Linked DNA regions of Tamandua tetradactyla. The protein of the gene in region 2 interacts with the protein of the main gene of each other region in a pairwise test. Links are inferred from orthologs where the notes say so. Each region holds a gene or a part of one and is shown on either strand. Other genes may lie near its edges.

Evidence for each region.
Region 1: the proteins of RAPGEF4 (region 2) and BMERB1 interact in binary tests that used the Homo sapiens proteins (3 or more experiments, as listed by UniProt). The link is inferred for Tamandua tetradactyla from reciprocal best matches to the Homo sapiens genes RAPGEF4 and BMERB1.

The regions. Positions count from the first base shown.
Region 1 is NC_135349.1:37,583,039-37,590,727, forward strand, and holds the start of BMERB1 (bMERB domain-containing protein 1), read left to right. Parts: upstream 1-4,443; 5' UTR 4,444-4,493; coding exon 4,494-4,599; intron 4,600-7,689.
Region 2 is NC_135329.1:144,543,917-144,552,166, forward strand, and holds the start of RAPGEF4 (rap guanine nucleotide exchange factor 4), read left to right. Parts: upstream 1-4,982; 5' UTR 4,983-5,017; coding exon 5,018-5,082; intron 5,083-8,250.

The DNA of each region.
Region 1 (7,689 bases), on a different chromosome or scaffold from region 2:
TGTGAATAAACCACAATATAGTTATCCATTCTATTGTTGGTGGACATTTGGGTTGTTTCCATTTTGGGTTATTATGAATAAAATTGCTATGACGTTGCTGGACAAAAGCATTTATTTCTCTTGGAATAATACCCAGGGCTGGAATTGCTGTGTAATAGGATACACATATATTTAGTTTTATAGGATATCACCCAACAGTTTTCTAAAGTGGTTGTACTATTTTATACACCTAATAGCAGTGAATGGTTGTTTTGATTTCTTCATATCCTCACCATCACTTGGTAGGGTTAGCTTTTAAAATTTTAGTCACTGTGCTATGAGTAAAATGCCCATCACACATCTGTAAGAAATCTTAACATTTTCGCTTCAGATTTCTTTTAAGAACTATAAAGTTTAGATATCTGCTTGCAAATCTACTGAAAGAATTATGGGTATTTATAATGCTGTTATTGCAACTTTTCTGTAGGTTTGAAATTTTCAAAGTAAAAAGTTTGAGAAAAAATAAATGTAAATTTTAGGTACAGCTGAAATAAACTATTTACCCTTCCCCAATCTTTTTCCTCTGCCTCCCCAGAGGTTGCTATCATCTTGAGTATGTTATTTATACTCATGTATACGCATATAGATTAATGGACAATAATAGCATTATTTTGTAGATTTCAAAAGCTTATGTGTGATATCATACTATACCTATCGTTTCACTAATGACCTTTTTTCCCTCTCATTATGCTTCCAAGAAGTATCCATATTGACTTATGTAGTTCTGGTTTGTATATTGATGTATAGGAGTCTATTATATGAATTTACCACAATATATCAATTTTCCCATCAATGGAGCATAAAAGATGCTCCCAATTTTCTGCAGCTACAAACATTGCTGCATTGAAAGTTCTTGTGCCCATTTCTTTGCATACATGGCAGGAGTTTCTTTGGGGTATATACCTAGAAGTAGAATTACACATCTTCAACTTGATTAGGGAGTGCCAACCTACTCTTAAAAGAAGTTATATCAATTTATTTGCTCATTAGCATGATATGAAGGTTCAGATGAGATGACAGCACATATAATTATTAGACATTTTTGCCTATCTGATGCTATGTCCTTGTTTAAATTTTCATTTCTCTTTTTATTAATGAGATTAAGAATCTTTTCATATTAAACTTTTTCCTCCCTATGAACTATTTTTATCCTTTGCCCATTTTTTTTTTTTACTGGGATGTCATTTTCTTATTAATACGCAGAATTAAAAAGAAACATGTACTTGCTATTAATCCTTTGCCCATTTTTCTACTGGGATTTAATTTTCTTATTAATGTAGAGTTTATTAAAAATATATACTGGATACTAATCTTTTGCCAATATTGTTAATTACAGTATTTCTTCCTGGTTTGTTTTTACTTTGTTTATAGTGAGTTGCATTGAACTGAAATATTCTAATTTTAATGTAGTTAAACTTAGTATTTTTTTGGTAAGGTTCATGTTTTTTGTGTCTCAATTAACATATTTTTCTATTTTAAAGTATGAAGGTATTCTCCCATATCATCTTACAACATTTTCAAATTTTAACTTCTACATGTAGATCTTTGATCCATCTGGAATTTGTGTGTGTGTATGTATGGGTGCATACATGATAGGAAGTATAAGGTTAAAAATCTATACTGCTTTGTAGTGCCTCACTTTGTCATATATCAACTTTCCAAATATGCGTGGATCTATTTGAGGGCTCTCAAGTTTATTCTTATGTCTTAAGCCTTTATAATGGGTTTTGATATCTGACAGTTAAGTTCTTCCTACTCTATTTATATACTTCAACACTGGCTTACCTTTTTCTGGTCCTTTGCTCTTCCTTTTAATTTTTGAATCAGCTTGTCAACATCTTTTAAAACTCCTTTTCTGTATTGAAGTTTCCACTGGAATTGCACTGAGGAGAACTGCCATCTTTATGATACACCCGTGAATATGGTATATCTATATCTCCATTTTCTTCACTTCTTAAAATGTTGCTTAACAAAGCAACATGAAAATAAATAAGTGAATAAATAAATAATTGCTCCAGGAGACATAAAATAATCTTTTTCTCCTCAAAGGTCTTTCTTTGCTATTATGATTATATTTGTATGTTTGATTGATAAAGTTAGTTGTACAAAAATACTACTATTCTTATGTGTTTATTTTATTTCCAAAACCCTGCTCTTATTAATTTTAGTAGCTTATCTGTGAATTTGCTTGCATTTTAATGTAGATGAGTACATTGTCTGAAAAGGAAAGTTTTATTTCTTCTGTTTTAATTCTTATACCATGTTTCTTTTTCAGGTTTAATTAGGATAGAGCCCCTCAGAAGTGGAAATTGTTCACATCCTTTTCTTGTTCCTGACTTAATGGAGGTGTTAGTAGAGCGTCAACAGTAAATACATTTGCCATAGACATTTGATAGTTACTCCCTAGAAGGTTAGAAAGTGTCCGTCTGTTTTTAGTTAGCTAAGAAAAAATATTTAGATACATATGGTCAAGAAATTTTTTACTGCTGCTTTTTATCTACTTTTGGTATCAAGATTATACTATCCTCATAAACAATGTTTATAAAGTAAGCATTAACTATTATTTCATAAAATTCATCCATAAAACTGTCTGGCCTGTTGTCTCTGTGAGAATGAAAATGAAAATAATTTTTTCTATTAAAATTTAATGTTTGAAATGGTTATTGATTTGGTTTCTTATTTCTTAAATACATTTAGATATATTTTTAGAAAATTATCCATTTTAACTCAGTTTAAAACTTAATAAAATTGTAATCTGTTTCCTTTTCCACTCTTCATAGTACTCATGTGTGCCTATTTTGTTTGTTTTTTCCCTCCAAGGAATTAGATTTTGATTTTATTGATATCCCTATTGCTTTTTTTTTTTTTTTTTTTTGCATAGGCAAAAGGCGCTGGTAATCAAACCTGAGTCTCTGGCGTGGCAAGTGAGAATTCTGCCACTGAACCACTATTGCCCGCCTTTTTTGGGGCAGGGGTGGGGTGGGTGGGTGGGTGCATGTTCTGGGAATCCAGCTGGGGTCTCCCACATAGAAGGCCAGCATTCTAACCACTGAACTACCAGTGCACCCCCTATTGCGTTTTGATTTTTCTATTTCATTAGTTTATGCTCTTATTTTCATTATTTCTTTTTTTTTCTTACTTTGCTTAGGTTTCACTGCTATTTTTTTCTCAAGTTACTTGAGTTGAAGGTTTAATCTATTTATTTTTAGTCTTACATTTCTAAATGAGTGCATTTAATGCCATACATTTACTTACATCAAAATTTACAAGTTTGGGTATGTGATACTTTCATTGTTATCCAGGTCTAAATAATTTTTTTTTTTTTTCGCATGGGCAGGCACCAGGAATCAAACCCGGGTCTCTGGCATGGCAGGCGAGAACTCTGCCTGCTGAGCCACCATGGCCCACCCAGTTCTAAATAATTTTTGATTTTCATTGTCATTTCCTTCTCCTCCCATGAGCTGGTTAGAAGCCCATTACTGGTGATAACTTTCTAGAGGCTTTTGTTACCAGTTACTAATCCGTTTTCTTAAAGAACTGGTCATTTTATACTTCACAAACCATGCAGATACCAGAATTGTCCCAGGTAGCATCTTAAAAAAAAAACAACGACAAATAACAAACTAATTTTTATCAATCATGGTTCTGACTTTTACTAAATATTTCGCTCTGTATTTTTAATGCTGCCATGCTTTTCTAGTAAGATATAACTCTGGGTTTTTTGAAAAGTAAAGATCCCACGCTCCACATAGCCGTGAGCACCTGAGTCCAAAATATTTTCATCTCTCTTTCAAGTTCACAGAAACTCACACAGAATCGACACAGGTATTCCCAGACAGGACTGGATTTCACATCCAGTTTCGCATCCAGCTTATACCCACGGATGCAAACGACAGAGGTCATCAAAGAAGCACACTCATTCAAGCACAGAACCCACGGATCCAGGTCCGCACTCACGCTTCTGTACGCACACTCCCCACAAAGATGGATCCATTGCCCACAGGCAGAGACGCGCTCACAAATCCCACTCAATGCCCAGCAGCCCGCTGACAGATAACTAGTCCCCAGCGCCGTCACCCTCATGCAGAGCCTCCACCAGCACGAATCTCTGTGAGGTTCTCCAGGATGATCAGAGGACTTTTCTTGCTCTCTTTGGGATGGTTTTATTTTAGTTGCTTCTGTTGTTGGTCTTAAGAGTTCTCAACCTCCCCTCTTTCTCCCTACCCAGCCCCCAAGCCTTGCCCCCCTAAGTCTTCACTGCGCATGCTCCCTGCATCCCTCCCCCCTCCTGGGTACCAGTCGGCGCTCCCTGGCCCTGCCAGCGGAAGAGATGGAGCCGCGTCACGAGCGCCCGGCCCCTTAAAACGCTGCTGGCTGGAGCCACCTCCCTCCCTGCAGCCCGCGGCGGGGATGGAGTAAAGGGAGGCGCGTCGACCTCCTCGCGCGGATCAGCGATGGAGTTAAAGCCATCCCTGTCCACCCATTTGGAAGCTGAGAAGCCTCTGAGGCGCTATGGGGCGGTGGAGGAGACGGCGTGGAAAGCCGAGGGACTGGGGAGAAGTGAGTACTTGGGCGGGGACACAGTTGGAGAGAGGTGCGCTCGAGCCGGTGGTCGTCGGAGCACGGGGGACAGCGGGAGCAAACCCTAGGAGGCGCCCCCACAGCGGCGCTTTTATCCGGGAGGGGGTGGGGGGTGGGATGCGCAGCACTGCACAGCGACGCGCTGTCCCCGCGAACAAAAGGGGGACCCTTCAGGCTGGGCTTCGCAGGGGAGGCTCAGAAAATCGCTAGTCTTGTTAAGCCGGGAGCCTGGGTCTGTCTTTCCCGCAGCCGAGAGCAGGCTCCTTTCTCCGCCGGAATGAGCTTAGGGGCTCGCGCCGTAGGACCATCCTAGAAAGCGCCCACGTCCCTGGAGAGGGGGGGAGTGTCCGCTGGACTTCCGCTCTGCTTTTCCCCAACGTGAGGTTCAGGGCACACCTGAAATTCCCAGGGTTTCTTTCCCCTCTTCTGAGTCGGGAAGGGTTAGAGGTGGAGGGCGGGAGACTGAGAGGGGGAGGTTAACCCTGTGCGCACCCTTCTTTCTCCCTCGACTCAATTGAAGTCTTGGGTTTGGTTACAATCCTAGAATGCAGTGCTGAAGCAGACCGGTTGTATTTGCCGGTCTGCTCTACAGATTTTCGGTGCCAGCATTTCCCAAACACAAAACGAAGGATTTTTGTTTTTAATTGATAGGACACAACAGTTGAAACTCCTGCCCTCAAAGTGCAGAGGCAGTCGTGGGGCCGTGAGATCACCAGCCCTCCCTGCAAATCCGGCGGGTTTCCCTCTGCCCCTGCCCTTGCATTGCTTGCACGGTGCCTCCGGCCAAGCTGGGAAAGGCTCGCTCGCCCTTCTCAAGGAGCCTGCGGCTTCCTGCCTTGGCTCCAGGTAAATGTGCCCAGCGCTCCTCCTGGGCACCAATCTCAGAGCTGTGTTGAGCCAAAGTATTGTGAATGTGCTTCTTTCCCGTCTCACCTGGAAGAAAACTGTGTGTGCAAGTGTGTGCTTTATTCATACTTGGAATTATGAATTGAGAAATCTTTCCACAATGGCTCAGCTCTATTCTGGTTATGATGGGTTCAAATTGAAATCAAATCAAATCAAATCAAATCAACGTCTTAGTTCTTCACCTGCTGGGATGGAAGAGGTAGGGTTTTCTACCTCTCCTCTTCTTTCCTTTCCTTTCTTTTTTCCTTCCTTCTTTCTTCCTTCTTTCTTCCCTCCCTCCTTCCCTCCTTTCCTTCCTTCCTCCCCCTCCCTCTTCCCTCTTTCTCCCCTTCCTTCCTTCCTTCCTTCCTTCCTTCCTCTCTCTCTCTTGCTTTCACTCTCTCTCACTTTTTCTTTCTCTCCCCATCTCTCCTTCCTTCCTCCTTCTGTTTCTTCTTCTCTTCTACCTCATCTGCATCCTTTTTTTCTTTTCTCCTTCTCCCTCTCCTGGGTCATTTCTCTGTGTTTCAACTTTTTAGGCTTTGGTCCTCTGTCATGACATCTGGGCTGAGAGTCTCTATTTCCTAAAAGCTGAAAATTATGGCTTTTATGGCAGATTACCATTTGCCTACCAGGTCCTGTGCTAAGAACTTTAAATGCGGCATCCCATTTAATCCCCACAACAACCTTCTGAGGTGAGTATATCATGACTTGCCCTGCACAGATGGGGAAACCAGCTTGTTAGGTGATATGACTAAGTGGCAGAGCCAGGATTCAAACCCAGTTTTGTTAGACCACAGAGTCCTGTTTTTAATCATAAAGTTTGATTGCTTTCACATTTTCAGGAATCTTCCTAAAGGTGTTGAGGGAATCCCAGAATATGTTCAGCAGTTTTATGAGTTTGGGGCAGCTCTGTTGCGCTCTGATCGCACAGTGGCCTTAGGACAAGAAAGAATGTGAGGGTCCATGTTGAGTATAAGCTGTATCTGAGTATGTCGTGGATTCAAATCCTGTCTTTGTCCTTTATTAGCTGGGTGATTTTAGGCACATTTCTAAGCCTCTCTCTGCCTCAGTTTTCTGAAAATGGTTATAAAGGTGCTTATCTTATAACTTTCTTCTAAATATTAAATAAGACGATGTATCTAGACCTCAAGGTAAATGCTTAATATATAATAGCTGCTTCCATTATATTATTGCTACATGTGTATAAGGAGCCTGCTTTTTCTTTGCAAGGAATTACATAAAGCCACACCCCAAACTCAACTCTAATGTTGGTCAGTTCCCTAATAACTCTCTGGTAGTATTTATTTCCTTACTATTTTATTGGGAGCATTTTCAAACATGCAGAAAAAAATTTAGTGAACATCCAATTTAAAGTGTTGTAGCTCCCTGAATTTTTTATATGGCTAAGTCCCGGGCTACAAACTGTTAAAAAAAACCTTGAGTAAAATGCTTTATCCTTCTCTCCTCCGAGTCATCAGATTGTCAGTCTTGTTTCTTATCCGAATGCAAGACCACGGTTTCTGATCTGCTTTTCCATGCATCCCCAAATCCAGGTGGGGCTTTTCCTTCCTTTTTACATATTCAAACTTGAAATCTTCTTAAAGCTTTGCTCCAGAGTCCCACTTTTGAATCTTGGCTCTGAGATTTTTTGAATCTTGGCTTTAGCCATTTTTTTTTCATCTTTAGATGCATGGCTGCATCCTGGCATATTGTTTTGGAACTCCCTCTCAATTCCCAGGAGATACATGGAACCATCTCATAATGTCTGGGGCTTCCATTTATTTGTTAATGAAATATAAAAATTAGTAGCATTGATTCTGTGGCACAATGAAAGCCAAGTTAATATTATAATGCATGATATGCTGGAGGAAATGAGAGGGTCATTGAGAAGGAGGAGGCATGGGCTGTTTAACTTCTATACATATTTAAATATTTTTATAAGATACTGAGTGTGTGTTAATTAAAAAGAATTGAAAAGGGGAAAACAATTACAGAACAGGTTGTTTCAAATTAACTTTCATATTTAATTTTAACTATAGTTTTGAAATAGGTTATGTAATGTATAGTACAGTAGTAAAGAGTGGTAGTTATTGAAATCAGCTCTACACTATATAGCTTTGTTCAATTGTCTTATCTGTAAAATGGGGATAATAATTGTAACCCTCACTTTGGTCTGTATAT
Region 2 (8,250 bases):
TGATTCCCACCACCAAGGGAAAGGAAAGAAGGGCTTCAATTGGGCCTGCCACTTGAGAAGTTACCTTGTGGTCTGGGGCACAGAGGACTGGTGTCTGATTTCAGCCCAAGATCCTTAAAGATCAAGAGAGAGGGATTGGTGAGTTTCTTAGGCAAGAGAAAGAGGATGGCATGCTGCTTTGTTGGAACTGGCCTGCACCTTCAGAGTTTAATGGGCAAAAGTAGGCAAGAGTGTGTCCATTGACCAGATGCAGGACATGCAAGAGAAAACCAGCCCCTTTAAATCCCACCCAAAAAGACAACTGGGGTGGGGAATTGGGTAAATTGGGACTCCCACAGAGGGAGTCAGCATGCAAGGGACTTCAGGAATGTCAAGTTTGAATGGGGAGCAGGGAGCCAAAAGGGTGGCACTGCCCACAAATAGAGGCCTAGCAGGGCGGCAGCCAGGGAATATGTGCCAGCACCTGCTTAACACATCTGCCAGGCCTGGTAAATGTGAAGCCAGCTTACTGCTTCACAGTCAAGTATGGACTTTCCCTCTTTCCTTTTCTTTCCTCGGATCCTGGCAGAGGTGAACAAGAGGACAAGAAGCTGACCACACTTCTTTCCAAAAGTCAGAGACATGCCTGTGACCAGCTGTGGTTGGGGAGAGGAAGAAAGAATGATCTTAGAAGAAAGACTGAAGTATTCAGGAAGATATTGGTCCAGACATTCTAAGAGAAAGACCCTAGCTAGCACTTTTTGTTACCTATAAGGGACCAAAAACTGCTATATTCAGCTGCAGGAATAGAATTACCCGCACCGAACAAGTTTAAAGTGGTAGTGAGAAAAAACATTAAAAATTGCCTTGAAGATCTCACTCTAGGAGTACTGCTTGTTCAGTGAGTTGGTTCTATCACCAGTGGGAGTTATAGATGGTTCTTATAACTCAGCTTCCAATGAGGTACCAGAACATTGTGACGGTTCTCCCCATACATAGAAAACTGGAATGTCCAATCTACGATAGCACTGGTCAGGATGCTATGACAGGAAAATGTAGGACCCTCTCCTACTTCAATCACTGTGCTGCTGTTCTATACATTGCAGTAACAACCCACCATTATGTGCTTTTAGTTTTCATACGAAGAATGGCAGAGTTAGAGCAAATGGAGAAAAGACTGTGAAAGTCTAAAAGTGTCTCTGAAAAGCTTTAGTGTTTCTCAGGGACATTAATCCTTTGTACCATATGCAACTGAAACTTGCAATTTACAGGTGTCAAGACCCTTTAGTATAAGTGATCTCAACTGATTCCCACCAGATCCCTGTGAAATACAGAAGGCAGTTACTCTTTATCTGTAGTGTACCGAGAATAATGATGGTAAGAGCTGTGTTCTTGAACATTCACTATGTGCTAGCTCTTAGGCTAAGTGTCCTACCAGCATCATGTTCATGTATCATACTATTAATTTCTACACTTGCAGCTGATGAAACAGTCCAAGAAATCCACTTAAGGTCACACACTTAGTAAGAGACGGAGCTGCAATTCGAACATGGCTGCTAATCTCCAAATTCCGGACTTTGAACCTCTACTCAATGCACAACATAAAACTCAGACATTGAATGACTCATTCAAGGTCTACAGCTGGTAATAAGTGGCATTTGCAGGCCTGGGGTTTGTGACTCCTTGTCTTCACCCACTGGAGCTCTTTAGCTTTCTTATAGAAAGAGAGAACTCACTAAACGATTGGAAGGAGATTAGTGAAAAATATATTTTGTCATTGGAAAAAAAAAACATGTCAAAAGATGGGTAAATTATATCCATACTTTAGAATATTTTGTAGCCAGTAAAACTTTTTAATGAAGAGTTTTTTAAACATGCCAAGCATTTTTGTTTTCCAAGTAGAAAAAGTAGCCTATAAAATAACTAATGCTTTCCAGTCTGTATACATACAACTATCTATATACATATACACATATACATGATTGAAAGTAAACAGCTAGTTACATGTATGTATTTATGTGTATGATTGCATATTTTTAAAATAGAAATGCTCGGAATGAAATGCACTAAAATATTAACGATGTTATCTCTAGGTGGTGGAATGATGATGGGTAATTTTTACTCTCTCCTAAACTTTATTTCCCCCCCAAAAAAGCAATGTGTGTTTTATTGTTATAATTATTTACTTTTTTACAGCTTTATTGAGCTATAATTTACATACAAAAAATTTACTCATTTTAAATGTACAATTTAAATGATTTTTATTAAATTTACAGAGTTCTGAAACCATCACCACTATCTAATTTTAGAACATTTCCACCAACCCAAAAAGATCCCTTGGGCCCATCTGCAGTCATTCCCCGTTCCCACCTGCCAGACACAGGCAATCATTCTACTTTCTTTCACTATAAATTGACTTTTTCTGCATTTCATATAAATGGATCATATAATATATTGTCTTTTTGGTCTGGCCTAATTTATGTTCTTTAAAGAAAGGAAAAAAATATTCTTTGTTTCTTTGCCTTTCCCATGCAAACCAAACAAAATCCCATATTTTCCTGCTCCTTATAATAAGATAACTAATCATCAACTTCTCATTCGTCCGTAGCTCTTGACCAACAATCAAATCCCTTTCAGGTCACAAAAATAATGTGTAGAACAGTAAAGCTATTCCTGATATTTCAAGGACCTCTTTTTATCTTTTGTTCCTCACAAACTTCCCTCTTCCTACACAAAAACAACTGATTCATAACCAAAAATAACTGACTCTTTCAATACAGGTGAATTTTGTTCTTATCAATCAGGCAGTCATTCTACTGACAGAATGAGGTGCAAGGACTGAAATCAGATCTAAAATCTAATTCAGGGCCCCCAGCTCAAACTGGGTTATCAGGGGCAAGTTATCAACGCCTTCTTGAGTTACAGTGTGCTAGTGAGTATTTTGGAGTTACTAGAGCTGGATGGATATGTTTATATGCTCTGGGTTAGCTAATAATTGTTGGTGTTCCTTTGAAAGGATATTTTTTAGATAATTCTTCAAATTCTATTTAGAGGAAAAGCAGGGTCCCATGCAGCAAAACAAAGGCCTCCCACTCTCCTTAACACGCACGTCTCACCCCCAAGCAGCTTATCAGCTGCTTTCTTCTACACCAGTCAGCGCCCTCTCTGAGTACTGACAAATATAATTTCCCAATCACATTACATTTTCAAAGATGTTTATCTCTCTTCGTGGAGTAGTGGCTTGGGCACCTGTCCTTCTGGCTCTGCCTCATAGAATGTTGTAAAGATTAAATGAGATAACACATGTAAAGAACTCTGCATAGCATCTGACACTCAGTGGATGCTGAAAACAACAGCACCTCTGAGCCTCTGTGTAATGACAGACATGGTGCCGTTCCCTTCTCCTCTAGCTCCTTACCTCTAAATGTTCTCTGAGTAAAGGCATTTTGAGAAAGTACCTGGCGACCTTGAAACATCCTCAGTAGTTCTCTGATGCCTTTATAACTTAAACCTAATAAATCTAGGAGCCTCATTTCCTTCTTCCATACCTATATCATAAAAAAGCAGCAATATATATACATCTGTTAATCTTTATATAGTATAATATTTGTATGCAATTAACCTTATAGAAATAAACAGGATGGAGATCAACCGGAGCTGGCAGGAGCAGCAGGCACTTGCTGCTGAGGGAACACTATGGCAGGTCTGAAACCAGATCCTAGCTATCCAAAGGAGGGGAACTGACAAATTCTTTGGAGGTCTTTAATATCACAGTAGTTTTATTAGGATAAAAGCATCCCAGAAAGCATCTGCAGTCTCCTCCCAGCAAGGTAGTGAAGGAATGGATAGGAGAGAAGAAGCAAGGAAAGTAAGGCTTTTTGTGTCCCCATTGTCTGTTCCCAAACTCACACCACAGATATCGAAACCTTGCTTAGTAGTATGCCAAAAGATTTAAATTGTCTCCAAATTCCAGCAAATAATTTAATTTCTGGCAGAGTGTAACTGAATAACTTCTACATATAACACTTGTGAACATCCACAGTAGACAGATTGTTATGACAACCCATTCAACAACTCCAGTTCCGGAGAGAATGGCGTGTGGGGCCAACCGTCCCAGTTAACCCAAGTTCCTTGGGATCGTGGCCCCTACATTTCTAAATCTCATTTCTGCTTGCTGCCCCACTACACATTTTTAATTGCATTTCTTTTCATCAGGCAGGTGATTTCAAGCCCTGCTAAGATCATCATTAGTGACTTCAGTTTTTCATTCCCTTAGCCACCACTGGTCACTTTTTCTTTTCAGCCCATTCTGGCCCAACGGCCTTCCCTCCCTGCCTCAGACGGTTCCCCTCTGTCCCAGCCCTTCCTCACCTCTCAGGAGAAACTGTCTTCTGAATTCCAGAAACCACTGTGTGTGTGTTCCCATCCTCACACTGCACTACTCTTTCTTACCTTCCATCACTTTTTAAGGGGAGACATGAAAGGTGAGCAAGAGATTGCCAGCAAGTTTTGACAGCTGCTAAAGAAGACTAATGGGTTTCTAAGGAAACAGAGAAGCAGCAGCCATTTTAGTGGCTTTTGCTGTATGAAAAATATATAGACACTGCCAACACCCTCCCCAACCCCTCCCCCCGTACACCCGTGCCGCTCTCCCTCCTTCCCTGCTTCTGAGGCGCCTAAGTGAGGGGTGGGACCCAGGTCTCCCGGGGACGCCTTGGCCACCTGTCGCAGGTGGCCGGCTACCTGGGGTCTCACCCCCACCTCCGGCGGGCGGGCCTGAGGGACTTCTCACCTCGCGCGCCGCAGTGCAGCCCGCGGGCGGCTCGGGCCCTGCTCGGCCCCGCGTCCCGCCCCTCCAGGCCCCTCCCTCGCCGGGCCCCCTGCCCCGCAGGCCGTGGGAGCCCGCGGGGAGGGCGGGCCCGTTGCAGCCGCGCTGGTGGCGGGGCGGGCAGGGAGGAGCGGGGTCCGCGAGGCGGAGCCGAGGCAGAGCGAGCGGGAGGTCGCCGCAGCTGGGGGACACGGCGCACCGCTGCCCAACATGGTCGCTGCGCACGCTGCCCATTCTTCCTCCTCTGCCGAGTGGATCGCCTGCCTGGATAAAAGGTATCTCGGGAAAGGCCCGCAACTGGGAGCCGGGGCTCTGCGGCTCTGCTCCTGTCCCGGAGTCCGCCCGCGGGTGCGGCTGTGAGGAGCCGGAGCTCCGTACCTGGGGCGCCAAGCGGCCCGGGCTGCGGGTGGCGGAGGGTCCCCGAGTCGGGGAGGAGGCTGAGGGTCCTCGTTAGGGATGCAGAGGACACAGACCCTGGCCTTTGGTGGAGTGCCACTTGCGTGATCATTACACGTGGTGGAGAAAATGCAGCGCAGTGGGGAGAGAGAGCACCATCCTTGCCAACCTCCCGCTTCCCTCATTCATTCTCTTCTCCCCTCACCTTGCTCTCCCCTTACCCCGTTCTCACCCCTCATTGCAGGCGCTGCTCCTCGATGGGGGTTATTTTCTCTTGGCATCACAGGACAGAATAGATTCAATGGCCTTTCAGACCATTAGGGGTAAACGTATTTTAAGTTTTAAGGAGAGGGTTGGGGGAGGCAGGTGCAGAGTAGCATTCTTTTTTGTTGTTGTTCCTGAAAGCAAAGTGTGAGGGACCCAGTGGAGCTGTCAAGTCCCTTGTTGAAAATTCACGGCTCTCTGCCCCCACAGTCACTCACTCAAGGTCTGTGTGGGGAAGGTCACGCAGGAGGCGGCTTGCTTCTTAAGACTTTCTTCTCGGGGAAAAGACCCTTACTCTTAAAAAATTAAGAGCACAAAACATTCTGACTCCCCACGACCGCTCTATAAGCAGGGTGCCATGTGTAACAACGGACTGCAGTTGTTTCCAGGCTTTGACAGCATAATTTTCTGTTTGTCCAGATTGTAGGTTTAGCAGTAAACATTACACAGTATGTTAGCAATTATAGTTTATTACTCTGATTAAAAGGTGATGCATCTGAAGTTTCAAGAACTGAGCAAGAAATCTGCAGCGCGAACTGCCTCTGAATTTCAGAGTTTGAGGCAGAAGGAGAATGATTCATGTCTTGCAGCTATCTGCGTGACATCTCTATTTGCACTTGTGTGAAATATTTTTCACTCTGCCATGTTGAAATTTTTACAATTAGCAGATTCATAAGCAGATCGAATTTGAAAACCTGAAATGTGACATGATCTGCATACTCTAAAATTATAGGCCTTTGTTGAAAAATATTAAGTAATTTGAGAAAAGCGAAATGTAGCTCATTTGTATAACTTAATTTATCTAAGAAATAATCATGACTTTCAATTATCATACAGTAGCAAGATTTTTTGGCAGGCAGTGCCCTATTTATGTCTAAAATGATATGTACTAATATTAGAAGAGCTGCATGCAATAAATAGTAAGAGAATTGAAATGATGGTTAAATCATACAGAATTATGTAGAGGAATTAAGAGCATATTTAAGTGAAGAGCCTGTAATATGCGAAGTAATCTAAATTTAATATTTTGAGAAAGATGAATTATAAAAGAAGAAAAAATCAAGCTCTGGCACTTAAACTATAAATAGTGCTTCCTCGTGAGTGGATTTTTTGACTAATAGATTACATATTTCTATTTGCAGAATTGCATGGCCTGCCACTTTTTGAACACTAGGTAATTGGCTGGAAACCCTTTAGTCAATAAGTACTTATGGCTAAATGTATGTACTAACACCAGGGGGGCATATTTGATTCTGTATTTTCAAAATGTTTTTTCTACCCGAAAGACTTGGCATGAAATGGATTTTTGGAACCTGGTGCCACAATCTAATGCCACCATTCATGATGGGGGAAAAAAATCTACCAGAAAAAAAAAACCCTCCACAAAAACTGAGCTTACTATTACTGGAGTGCACGACAGTGGAGAGATCAATAAGCTAAGGTTTTAGGCCCAGAGTTGTCACCAACACTGCTTTTGGATAGTCACTTTAATTTCTTTGAGTAGCTGAAAAAATGAGGATAGGACAAACTGTCTTGACTCCCAGGGGTGAGTGGATAAAATAGAGAGCAGGAGAGTCTGGTGGAAGTACTTTGAAAACTGCACAGTGCCACTGCTTGGTGCCCTGTAAGTATTTTATTTTGTAGTATTAAGAGCATCTTGTATTTCCCATCATGTTGATGACAGAATTCCTATGAAGCCCAGGTTAGAAGTGGCAGTCTTTTTTTTTTTTTTTTTTTTTTAAAGGAAAGACAGAGAGAAGGAAGGAAGGATAGAAGGAAGGAAGGAAGGAAGAAAGGGAAACATCTTTAAACATTTTCTTGTTTTTATTGTATTCTGTTTCTCCGTTTTTGTTACATGGGCTGGGGCCGGGAATCGAACCGAGGTCCTCCGGCATAGCAGGCAAGCACTTTGCCCGCTGAGCCACCGTGGCCCGCCCAGAAGTGGCAGTCTTTTAAGTGAGCCTCGGGGGACTAGTTTTGAGGGTACATTTTTACTTAGATTATATATGCAAATTTTTAAAACATTTTTTATCATGAAATATGATGTACGTACAAAAATGCAATAAATTTCAAAGTTCACTGTAACAAGTACTTATAGAATAGATTTCAGAGTTTAGTGTGGGTTGCAGTTCAGTAATTTCAGGTTTTTCCTTCTAGTTGCTCCAAGACACTGGAGACCAAAAGAAATATCAGTATAATGATTCAGCAATTATACTCATTTGTTAAGCCCTATCTTCTTTGTTTCTTCCCCTTTGATCCTTCTCCCAATCTTTAGGGATATTTGGGTTGTGCCCATTCTACCTTATCATGTTGGAAAGGGGTGTCGATAATATGGGATGGGGGAGGGAACTAGTTGATGTTCTTGGAGAGGCTGGCCCCTCTGGGTTTCAGGACTCATCTGGCCTAGGAACCATCTGGAGGCTGTGGGTTTCTGGAAAGTAATCTTAGTGTGTGAAACTTTGGTAGAATCTCAGTTAGAGCCCTGGGTATTCTTTAGGGTAACGGGAATGGTTTTGGTAAACTGTGGTGATTAGCAATATCTAGCTGAAGCTTGTGTAAGAGTAGCCACTCCACTCTATCTGAACTCTCTTAGCCACTGATACCTTATTTTGTTACATTTCTTTTCCCCCTTTTGGTCAGGAAGGCATTGTCAGTCCCCCTGTGCCAGGGCTAGGCTCATTCCTGGGAGTCATGTCCCACGTTGCCAGGGAGAATTTCAGCCCAGGATGTCATGTTCATGTAGATGAGGAGGGTAATGATTTTCCTTGCAGAGTTGGGCTTAT